Caenorhabditis elegans: one gene and its partners. The protein of the gene in region 1 interacts with the protein of each later gene in a pairwise test. Each region holds a gene or a part of one and is shown in the gene's direction. Other genes may lie near its edges.

The links.
Region 2: the proteins of lin-2 (region 1) and gmeb-3 interact in a two-hybrid assay, tested with the Caenorhabditis elegans proteins (4 studies listed by BioGRID).
Region 3: the proteins of lin-2 (region 1) and ndub-10 interact in a two-hybrid assay, tested with the Caenorhabditis elegans proteins (3 studies listed by BioGRID).

The regions. Positions count from the first base shown.
Region 1 is NC_003284.9:12,412,295-12,416,051, reverse strand, and holds the start of lin-2 (Protein lin-2), read left to right. Parts: upstream 1-2,010; 5' UTR 2,011-2,026; coding exon 2,027-2,100; intron 2,101-2,151; coding exon 2,152-2,264; intron 2,265-3,066; coding exon 3,067-3,250; intron 3,251-3,757. UniProt on the Caenorhabditis elegans protein: May play a structural role in the induction of the vulva. May be required for the localization of signal transduction molecules (such as let-23 receptor) to either the basal membrane domain or the cell junctions.
Region 2 is NC_003281.10:3,766,889-3,770,645, forward strand, and holds gmeb-3 (SAND domain-containing protein), read left to right. Parts: upstream 1-1,611; 5' UTR 1,612-1,659; coding exon 1,660-1,800; intron 1,801-2,015; coding exon 2,016-2,190; intron 2,191-2,240; coding exon 2,241-2,337; intron 2,338-2,518; coding exon 2,519-2,715; intron 2,716-2,770; coding exon 2,771-2,959; intron 2,960-3,029; coding exon 3,030-3,361; 3' UTR 3,362-3,440; downstream 3,441-3,757.
Region 3 is NC_003279.8:10,517,585-10,521,341, forward strand, and holds ndub-10 (NADH dehydrogenase [ubiquinone] 1 beta subcomplex subunit 10), read left to right. Parts: upstream 1-1,775; 5' UTR 1,776-1,776; coding exon 1,777-1,933; intron 1,934-2,321; coding exon 2,322-2,884; intron 2,885-2,966; coding exon 2,967-3,029; 3' UTR 3,030-3,177; downstream 3,178-3,757. Other genes in the region: nlp-4 (Transthyretin-like family protein), read right to left, coding at 1-74, 124-268, 316-318; exos-3 (Exosome complex component RRP40), read left to right, coding at 797-960, 1,012-1,288, 1,338-1,577; UPF0598 protein F59C6.12, read left to right, coding at 3,287-3,345, 3,392-3,474, 3,517-3,578.

The DNA.
Region 1 (3,757 bases):
AGGTGTTCATCGTGTTTATCTTGCAAACTCACCCAACCGACACTCATAAAACTGTGTATCTCTGGAGACTGGGAGAGATAACATCCACTTTCTACTCTTTGTCGAGCCTCTTTCATCCAGTTTTTTTCCGGTGTCAAAAAAAACTTCATATTTTCTTTTTTTTCATATTTATTCGTTTTTTCTTTCTGCTTTGAGATTTTGTCATATCTTACAAATCCAAGAAAAAAAAAAGAAAAATGTAATATCTTTCCTTCATCCCTTCCTTTTTATGTAGTTATTTATGTCTTCTTCTTTAATTAAATTTGTTTTTTCTTCTTATTTCCCATTATTTTGCTAACACCTTATTTGTTGAATATTCGATGGAGAGACTAATAATTGAACATTTTTGCATCCCAATTTTTCACAAAGCTAATATTTCGCGGTTTTTGATAGTTGTTTAAGACTGGGATGTATAGTTGGTGTTTCAATTTTGTCTACTCAGTTTTTTTTTCAATTTAAAATTGTTTTTGAAACAAAAACGTAAAAACCATTACATAAAAGTTTATAAGTAATTTAAAAGTTCCATTAAAAACAAAAAATAACCATGGTATAATCAGAGTATACATATATTGGGCATTTCAGAAGCAATAACTTCCAAATAACTTCAATGTGAACTGGAATATATGTAGTGACAAAATGCGAAATACTTAAATTGTGTAAGAGTTTAGTGTATACAGATTAAAATAAACTGACAAACTAAAAAAAAATTATAAAAGTATATATATATATGTCAAAAATTTGAGACTAGTAGTAACCTTAACAGTAAACATATTTTCAGCATGTTTTTGGTATAGCTCTGCACAAAATGGTAGTTTTATGAAATTATTGTGCTCAATGTTATTTCCTTGAAATAAATCTCGATTATTTTTTGAATAGTTACACTTTTTGGTTGAAGTTATTGCACCAAATGGAAATGAATTTTTCAAAAAGTTTTAAGTAGACGTATGAAACGGAAATAAAAAGAGTATGCAGAAAAAGATGCAAACCGAAATTGTTTGAAAAAAAAAACTTTAAAAAATGGCTTTGTTAGCCTTAAAGGAGTTATTGTTTTGAGCATTAGAATTAGATCCCAAGTCATTTGAGAACGTAGGAAAATCAAAATGTAGGTTTCTCTATGTAATTGATCGTAGTAAAACCCATGCACGTAATTGCTTCTATTACATTACATTACGATTTTCATATCAAATAATTTTTTTTCAGCATCTCTCAAACTTAAAGTTTAGTGTTTTGAAAAGATTTCAAATCTGTTTACTGTTTTTGTTACAAATACATCTGGCTAACCCGCCAACTTTGAATAAACACGATACTATTCCGGCAAATTCAGGAATGTTTGCTAAATGACAAATACAGCCGCGTTTCAATAGGAAACTAGAGGTGGAAAAGATGAAAAGTGTCCATATTTGTCTTGATTTCCTCTGCCATGCCGCAATCAAACTTTCTTTCACATAGTTGTTCTGCTTCAATAATTTAAGATTGGATGGTTTGATTTTGCATTTTGCAGAAAATATTATGTTATAAACAAGAAAAAATCCTAAGTTTAACGATTTCCGTCCCCCACGCACTCAAGTTCATTAAAATTAATGACGTAATGCTTACCTCTTTTTATAAGACCGCAACATGAGATTTTCCATCAGACAAGTACCACCTCAAATCCTCAATTTTTTAGTTCTCGAAAGAATGTTGCGGGGTTGATAAAACATGAATCTCTCTTGCAATCATTTATTGACATTATATCTCCTCCTAACGATCAAATCAAATTGGCCGAAAGAAAACGCGTAGAGCCCCCCCCCCCCCCCCCGCCGCCGACCCAAAAAACTGCCATTTTCTCTCCAGTCTCTCTATTTCAATATTCATGCGAGCCTGATATGCTTTTTCAATTTAATAATCATTCACTGTCCCTATGAGTTTTTTTCTGGTTATCTCTTTTTTTTCTTCAACTTTATCATTTGTTTATTCACGTTTATCAGCATTTTTCAGCTAAAACAGAATGAGGGAGCTTGACCCGGACGAGTCGAACCTTCTCCTCGATGAACAACTGTCGATCCGGGATGTGATAGAACAGTAAGATTTTTGAAAATTCAGTTAATTCTTGAAATAACTAAGAATTTCCAGAGGTCCATTTTCAAATGTATACCGAATACTTCATGGACCATCAAATCGAAAATTTTTACTGAGATCAATCAATTTGAATTTGTTCAGACAGCACACCGGGTTAGGATTTGAAGGTACAATTATTGTTATACAGTTGTTACATGGGGTACGACTACATGTAGTAGTCGTATTCCAAAAAAATTCTACGCACCTACTAAAATGATTTGTTCAATTCAAAAGTTGAAGCAGTGTACTTTTGTAGTAGCTGTAGTTGCTCTACTATACAAGTATCAAAAATAGTTTTCTCCCATTTTGATAAAGTCTTTTTTTAATTTTGGTTTTTTGTCTTTACAAAAATTGATAGGTTTTTGTAATGTTAATCGATCTAGTGATGAACTAATATCTTTCGAAAGGAGGCTCAAATGCAGTTAAAAAAAAGTTAATTAGAATAAAAATATCCAATTTCATTGGTTTTCATCCAAATACCATTGAGACCGTTAAAGAAAAGTTTCAACATTTTAAAAACAGGAAGTCATCGTTTCAACACACTGTCTCACAAAAGACTGAATTATTAGTTTTTGATGTTTTTTTTCGAATTGAACAAATTCAGGTGGTTAATACACTTTTTTTTTAAAGTTATGTTTTGACCTTTATTGTGGATTTTGAAGAATAAAAAATTTCTCAAAAAACAACCTGAGTGCACTTTTAAAAATTGAGAAAAAAAAAGTCCCCGCAGCGGATATTATTATTCTCGCCACCAGTTTTCCAATCAGAAGCGCACAAAATGTCCTCAAAGTTCTCATCTCATGAGCTCAGCAGCTCCAATCCCAATTCATCAATCAATCTATCAGCCATCATGTGTCATTTCGAACTTTGATCATTTTACCGAATCCGATCTAAATATAATTATTTCATTCCAAACCATCTCTTTTTCAGAAATCGACGAGGAAATTAGAATATGCCAAAATCTACAGCACCCTTACATATGCCGACTGGAAAAAACTATCAACAGCGTTCATTATCGACATATCATTTTTGAGAACATGGAGGGAAATGATATTTGTTTTGAAATAGTTCAAAGAGCAAGTAATGGATTCGTATTTTCTGAATATGTAGTAAGGTTTGTATTTTTACAATATAGACTGTGTGTCACGGCGTGTAAATTGGGACATCTGGCCTAGCGAAAAGTGAAAAGTGAGAATCCTAGGCCATGGCCGCTGCAAAGCGCGCGAAATTTGAATTTAAATTTTTAATATCATTGAAATTCGATGAATGAGACATTATAATGGATAAAACTGCAAAAATATATACAAAATTGTTTTTAAAATGGATAAATCACATATAACAACGATTATTTTCCTAAATAAAAGTGGAAATTCGATTTATTAGGCAATTATTAGGAAAATTCGACAAAAATGGCACATTTTTGAACTTTTTTCAAAAACTAGATCCACAAATTTTCTGAAATTTCACCAGATTACTCAGTAGACTACTTTAATCAAATTGTGTGCAAAAAATTCATACCCACCGTCACAAGTTCCTATTGAATTTTTCTATTTTAGCTCCGAAAACCACTAAAATTCGACAAAAATGGCACATTTTTGAACTTTTTTCAAAAACTAGATCC
Region 2 (3,757 bases), on another chromosome or scaffold:
AGGGACACATAAGGTAGGGGGGACCGCCTGTTTGAAAGGGGGGACTCAATGCAACAATAAACGTATTATGATTCATTAAGTTTCAAAACCAAGTAACATTATGGCAAGTATATTGAGGTAATGTAAATAGTGTCTCTCTCATAGACAGCTTATCAGCAAGAGAAAATGGAATTTGTTCTAAGACAGGCTGAAAGTGGTGGGAATCTGTGTTTCAAACTTTTTTTTGATACTTTTTTGGCCAAAAAAGTAAAGCAGAACATCTTTATCATACCTTAGTTTTGTAACAACCAAATTCGAAACTAAAACTTGAAAAACAAGCATTCCCACTATCGCTTTTACGATATCAACCATCTATTTGAACAAAAACAAAATAAGATACTATCATATTAAAGTTTGTTACTTTTGATACTGGGAATGAGCAAAAAAAGAGTTTCAGTTTTTTTGGGCGTGGATCCTAACTGTAGTATTTCAGTCAAAAAACAAGAAGAGCTTGCTTTAGTAACGCTACTGTACCGTACCATTACAATAAACTAGCCAGTATTGCGTAAGTACCCTGGATATGCCGAGATGGAGCCCACAATCAATGTCGCCTGCTCAATTAACAATTTTGAAAATTTAGGAAATTTCATAAATTTTAAAATATATAACTTCCACTTCGCGATTTTTCATGCACAGCCGCAATTCATTGAATAGGTATTCCCCTATTCACCCATTAATATTTTAAAATTAAAAAAATCATATCTTAGCTAGAACATAAAAATATATCTAAAAATTAATTCCAGATGTTTCTCCACTGCACATGAAAAAAAACAAGCAAACAGTTAATTTTCAAAACAAAAAAAAACATTTTAAATGTAAAAATTGTAGCTAGCTCCAGGCTCCAGTCATATGACGAATGAGGTAATCGTTGTTCGTTAAAAAGTATAAAATCACCTTCATTATCGGGCCTCTCATGGGTATTTAGATCATTGAATTGCGGTTTCAAAAAGTAAAAGTACAAGTCCGGGTCACCCACCACTTTTAATGGAATGTGGATATGCTCAAATACAGTGCTCATTGTAATGGGATGGCGTGGAGGATGATTTACCCTGTGTAACAGAAAAATAGTAAAAATGTTTAACACCGGATGTTTCAGAAAAAATCCCATTTCAAATAATTTTGCAGAGCATTTTTTTGAATTCTGTGTAATTCTTCACAACAAACGTACTGGAAAAAAATCTGGAAATTTTTGAATTTAGTTGGGTAAACAATTTTAGAAGCTGATTTTTTTTTCAAAAAAAAAGCTTCCATGCAAATTACCGGGCCTCGCAAGAACTTAAAAAAACTCTTATGAAAAACATTTTTTTGCTAGTTCAAAATGCTCTTCCGAAACTAATTTTTCTGCAGTCATCTATTTTAATAATCATATTGTTTGTCCCTAGTAAGGCTTACGATACCACAATACTTTTTGGATTTTTCTCTGCAATTTTTCCAGTATAAATGATATTTTTGATCATTGAAATGCCTTAACTTTTCAAAAAAAAAATCATTAATTTATTTTAAAAATATTCAAAAACACGCGAGAAGCCAACAGATCCAAGCTGGCGGAAAACTAGTTGCGTGTCAGAAATTATCGTGTCGCGTCGGGTCGCCCATCTTTATTCATCGATTACCTGAAAAATGTGTGACGACGATGATTTCGAATTCTCTACTCAACCCGAGTTCGGATCAACCAGTGAGATGAAAAACGAAGAGATGCTGGTTCCAAGTGATCCAAATTTCGAGATAGACGGGAGACGCGTTCAGGAGAATATGTATGATGTGAGTTGGGATGTGAAATTTTGAGACAATTTTTTTGGAAACAATTCTTCCAAAAATTGAAATAGTCTTGTTAGTCTCGGAAATACTTTTTTGGCTCGAAAAAAATCTTCAATTTAGTTTGAAAACTTCAAATGCACCTACATTGCTGTCTGAGATACGAAAAATGCCATTTTGGCTCCAATTAGCAATTCGAAAATAACAAATAAATATTACAGCAAGCATCGGAACTCAGCTATACTTACCTGGATACTCCATCTGAACATATCTGGACACCAATTGTACCTCTAAATGCCACCACGGTGCCGGTTACCTGTGGATATGTCAAAGGAATTATGCATCTCAAATTGTTCAGGTGCCCCGGAATTCGTCAGGCTTGCATCGAATATGAATGTATGGTGGCTTTTATAATGTGAGAGAATGAATTTATTCTGGAATTTCAGCACAGTATCTGACTCCGAAACAATTTACGGAACTTGGTGGAAAAGGGCGACAGAAAGACTGGAAGGCGTGTATTCGTGTGGAGAATGTTAGCTTGAGGTGAGTGCAGAAAGATCAATAAATTGTATGCTTTGGTTTAGGCTCAGGCGTATGCTTAGGCTTAGGCCTCGGTTTTAGGTTATGTGCTAGGCTTAGGTTTGGGCTTAATCGTAACCTTTTGCTTGGGACTGCTAGCCACGTTTAATTCTTAACGTTCCAGTTTTAATTCATTAAATTTCAGAACACTATTGGAGAACAAAACCATCGATTTCTATAATCACAAGAGTATCTGTCATGGACAGTGCCAAAGTCGCAACTACATGAACTCAACGGGCAGAGCTCCAGTTAACAAACGTCACCTCGAAGATGTTCTAGCTTCCGGAGATGATGCATCTGAGCCAACGGAGCAAAGTAGTGGACAAATTAGTGAAGAGCCAAGTAATATTTTAAAAATCATGGTGCATTTAATTTTAAGGAAATCCTATTTTTTCAGTCAAGAAAAGAGGTCGTGGGCGTCCAGCAGGCAAGAAAAACAAGGCAAAGCTGGAAATCAACTTTGTTGAATCAGAAGATCAGCTTGTTTTTGAAGAGTTCTTCCAGCCAGCTTTCTCAACAAGATCCCCAGCTCCAGAAAGACCTGTGTGCAGCCCAGCTCAGGATATTTACAGTTGTCTGCAAAATGGTAAGGAGTTTTTGCATATTTTCGAGTTTCACTGCCTCTACCTATCAAATAAACTTCCAAATGATTCCAGATCCAATGAGTTTCTGGTCTCAAATCAAGCGAAGCGGCTTCATTTCTCAATTCTGTGATGACATAATTGCCGGTGCTATCAATCTGAAACAATCTGCAATGACTCAATCCTTGAATCAAAATAGTGCATTTGTTCTGACTCGTGCCACATTTGCTCTTGGTATCCAGAAGCCGATTGTGAATCGAGTGCAATCGATCGAGAGAAATGTGAATGAACAGAAGAAGCAAAATGAAATGATGGAGGACCAGGGAAAATATCAAGAAGATGCTCAAACTGAAGCTGACGACTTGGATAATCAACCTAGATGCAGTTATCTTTTGGAGGATCTTTAATAGATTTTAATAATAATTATTTTTTGTTCTGTACTGTTCGTACCAGTACTAGTATTTAAATAAAAGATTTTTTCAAGTTTTAAGTGCTTTCAGAATTTAATCACAAAATTGTTCTATTTCCCAGAAGCTTCCAGTTCAATAAAAAAACTGACCTACAGGCATATAAATAACCACATTTTTTATTGGGTGATCTTGATAATTTTTAAAAATTAAAAATTAATATACGACTTGACAGACAAAAAATAGATTGACAGACGAAAAATAGATTGACAGACGAAAAAATAGATTGACAGACGAAAAAATAGATTGACAGACGAAAAATAGATTGACAGACGAAAAATAGATTGACAGACGAAAAATAGATTGACAGACGAAAAATAGATTGACAGACTAAAA
Region 3 (3,757 bases), on another chromosome or scaffold:
AGTTGTCACATAGGCTTTGAAATCAAATTCTCCTTTCTCGTTTGTCCATCGATCCATAAAATCTTCGTATCTGACTGAGAGTAAAGATTTTAGATTCAGTTGAACGATTTCAAACTCTCTTACACATTTGTGCTTCAGAAAAAATGTCCATTGGCATGTTGGCAGCAGGGACATCATCACACACAAGTTGTCCTTTGATATGCACGGAAAAATCTGTCTGCTTCACGGCCAGACACGTGGCAATAATACCGGAAAGAACAACAACTAGCTGAATGGGAAAACTTTAACTTCAAAAAACCTAACTATATTACATACCATTTACAAACCAGTTTGACCACTAAAAACTCAGTTGAACTGTATTTGAAACTAAATTTTTCTCGGTGTACGTGTCGATATTTATTTTAAAAAATTGCCACGCATTTATGTTTTCAGTGTTATTTTTCTTTTAGTCCTTGACAATTAATATTAATTGCAATTTCCAACATATCAAATAAAAATCAATGGGTACGGTATACAACACCGCAAACACCGTCACGTCAAGTCGCAGACTTTCAACAGCCGCTCCATTTTTATTTCTTATTTTTCTAGTTTTTCCGTTTATTTTGCGAAATATTATCACTTTTTGATTAATTTTATTGCAAAAATTTACAATTTTCAGTTAATATACTCATTGAAAACACTTTATTAACGTAGCTTATTACGTTATTCCTCCTGCGGTATTTAAATTTGGTTTTTCTATTCGCCACTACTTTTTAAAACGTTATTTTGTTCATCATTGAGTATTCAATTTTCAGAAATGACCGTATATCTCCCTGGCGACGTTATCAATGAACCTTCTTCAAGCGATTCCTCAATCATTGGCTACGGAATTAGTGTACGTGGCCAAACGAGAATTGCCACTCAACCTGGAGCTTTCCACAACGATGATGGAAAAGTCTGGTTAAATGTTCACAGCAAAAGGTAAGAATGATCACGAACAACATTTAAAATCACAATTTTTCTTAAATTCAGATATATACCACAGGAAGGAGACCGAGTAATCGCTATTGTCACTTCAAAAACTGGTGATTTCTTTCGTTTGGACATAGGAACTGCCGAATACGCCATGATCAACTTTACTAACTTCGAAGGTGCTACTAAAAGGAATAGGCCGAATCTAAAAACTGGAGATATTATTTATGCAACAGTTTTCGACACAACTCCAAGAACTGAAGCAGAGCTTACCTGTGTGGATGACGAGAAACGAGCACGTGGAATGGGACAGCTAAATGGAGGATTCATGTTCAAAGTTAGACACGAAATTTACTATTTATTGTAAAATTTAAAAATTATTATAGGTCTCCTTGAATCATTGTCGTCGACTAATCAACCCATCTTGCAAAATTCTTCAAACTGTTGGCAAGTTCTTCAAATTCGAAATCACTGTTGGAATGAACGGAAGAATCTGGATTAGTGCTTCGACTTCTGATGATATTATCAAGATTCACGATATTATCAATAAATCAGAGTTTATCACTGACGAAGATGAGCTTATCACCCTGGTTCAGAATAATTACACACGATCTGTCAGTGATTAAGAATCTTTATCTCAATTTTTAATTTTTCAGTGTAATTCCTGCTATTGTTGATTTTTTTTTCCTTTTGTTGTTGAACTTTTTAAAAATTTAATTTATCGTCTTGTTCTATGTAATATTTCAATTTTCAACGTTTCTTCGTTGTTTTAATATTTATTACTCAATATTCTCAATTCACAATGGAAAATTTTCGACATTCAGTATGGGTGAAGGCTTAGTGGAGCAACGTCAAGCTGACGATAAAGCATCTTGGGATGCTTACTGGAAAGTTCGTGATATCGATTCACGAGGATCCATCTACCCACGATTCCGTTATTATGCCCATAAGGCTTTCGACGCCCCAGCAACTTGGTTCAGAGGTAATTTTTAAAATTCTCAAGTTGGAGAATCATTTAAAGAAGAAGCAGCTTTGAAATTAGATTTAAAACCATTTACAAAATGTAAGAATTGACAGAAAACAAATTTCGTTCAAGTTTATTTACTTTCACCATTTGTTTTAATTCCAAGTAATTGATACTGTCTACGGTTTTATCCAGATTCAAAAAATTTGGGAACTTGTGGTGCAAGTAAAGGTTAATTTCTAATTCCCATATCATTGCTGTAAATTATAATTTTAAACTAGAAAAAAACCAAAGTTATTCGACTACCTCAAGCTGATGTACAGTTAGTAGTTGCAGTTCCACATAATAAATCAACTAGGCAAAACAATCCATTTTAATCTATTCTACTAACTCGTCAGCTTTTCAGAGACTATTGTGCAACCACTCAACAACAAGAACCGTCTACCCTACTATCACCGTCAACTTACACGTGTTCCGGAAATCGACGAATGCGGAGTGAACGACAAGGCCTGCTTCTACGAAGCCAATGAGCAGTACCGTCTTGATAAAATGGTCGATGGATTTATTCTGCAAACCCTCCGCCAACGTGTTGATCGGTGTATGCTTTACAACAATCCTGATCATTCACCATGTGCCAAGGTTATTGAGGATATGGAAGAGAATGAGTTGAATTTCTTCATGAAATACGGAGAGTTGGGAGGAGAATCCGATGTTCGTGATGCTTATATGAAGCAGAAGCATCGAATGATCTGGGAACGACGTCATCCAGAGATTATGGATGAGCGTGCAGCTAAGCTTGCTGATCATAAAGCACGACTTGCTAATGGAGAGTTTGACTATTCATTCTGGAAGAAGGGAATGTTCTATCAAGACAAGAAGAACTATGAGCCACCATATGAGTTCCAAATGAGCAAGTCAGCACTCGAGGGTGACAAGCCATTGTCCAAGGATTGGGAATACTACAAGAAGGTAAATATTCTTTCAAGATTTAATTTTAAAAAAGAAGCTACGAGAGAATCCTGGATCGAAAATTAAAATTTTATATTTTCAGGTCTCACAAGACCCAGAATTCGACAAGGATCAAGGAAAGAAGTCCGACTTCCGTCTCTTCTAATTCTACGCTGTCAATCTTTTCTTTTTCAATGAAATTTTTTAGAACGAATTGTGTTGAGTTTTCTTATTCCGTCGTAACAACTTTTTTTTCTTTTTCATGTTGCGTTCTTTTATTCCATTCAGAAAGTGAATAAATGTAGATTGTTTGATTGATTTATAAAGATTTGAATATGAATTTATGAGAAACGGAAATATTACCAGTCAGCTTTTCTTTTCAAATTAATTTAAATCAAAATTTAACTTTTTTAAGTTTCGGAAATGATACTGACATTTGCACGAAGTCTCTACACACAGGGGCAGTATAACGGAAAAATAAGGTTTTATTTTTAAATTAATTGTTTCTTTTTGAATTTGAGTTTTCAGAGAATATTTTTACTATGTGAGCCACAATGGTTTCCTATTTCTGGACGATTCGAGAATGAAGAATTTTACAGCGGCTTATAAAGGTTTATTTTACAGGAAAAACTGTTAACAAATCGAAATTTCAGATATTCAGTTTCTTAATTTCTTCTACAGAAAGATCAAGGAAAACAAGACGGGAAGATATGAGGTAAAACGCGAAATTTGCGATTTATCAACAAAAATACGGTAGCCGGTCTCGACACGACAATTTTTGTTGAATGAGAAAAGGTGTGCGCTTTTAAAGAGTACTGTAATTAAAAACTGTGATTTCTGCCGGATTTTTTTATTGATGTTTCCAATTCTTTCTATAAAATAATTCGACAGAAT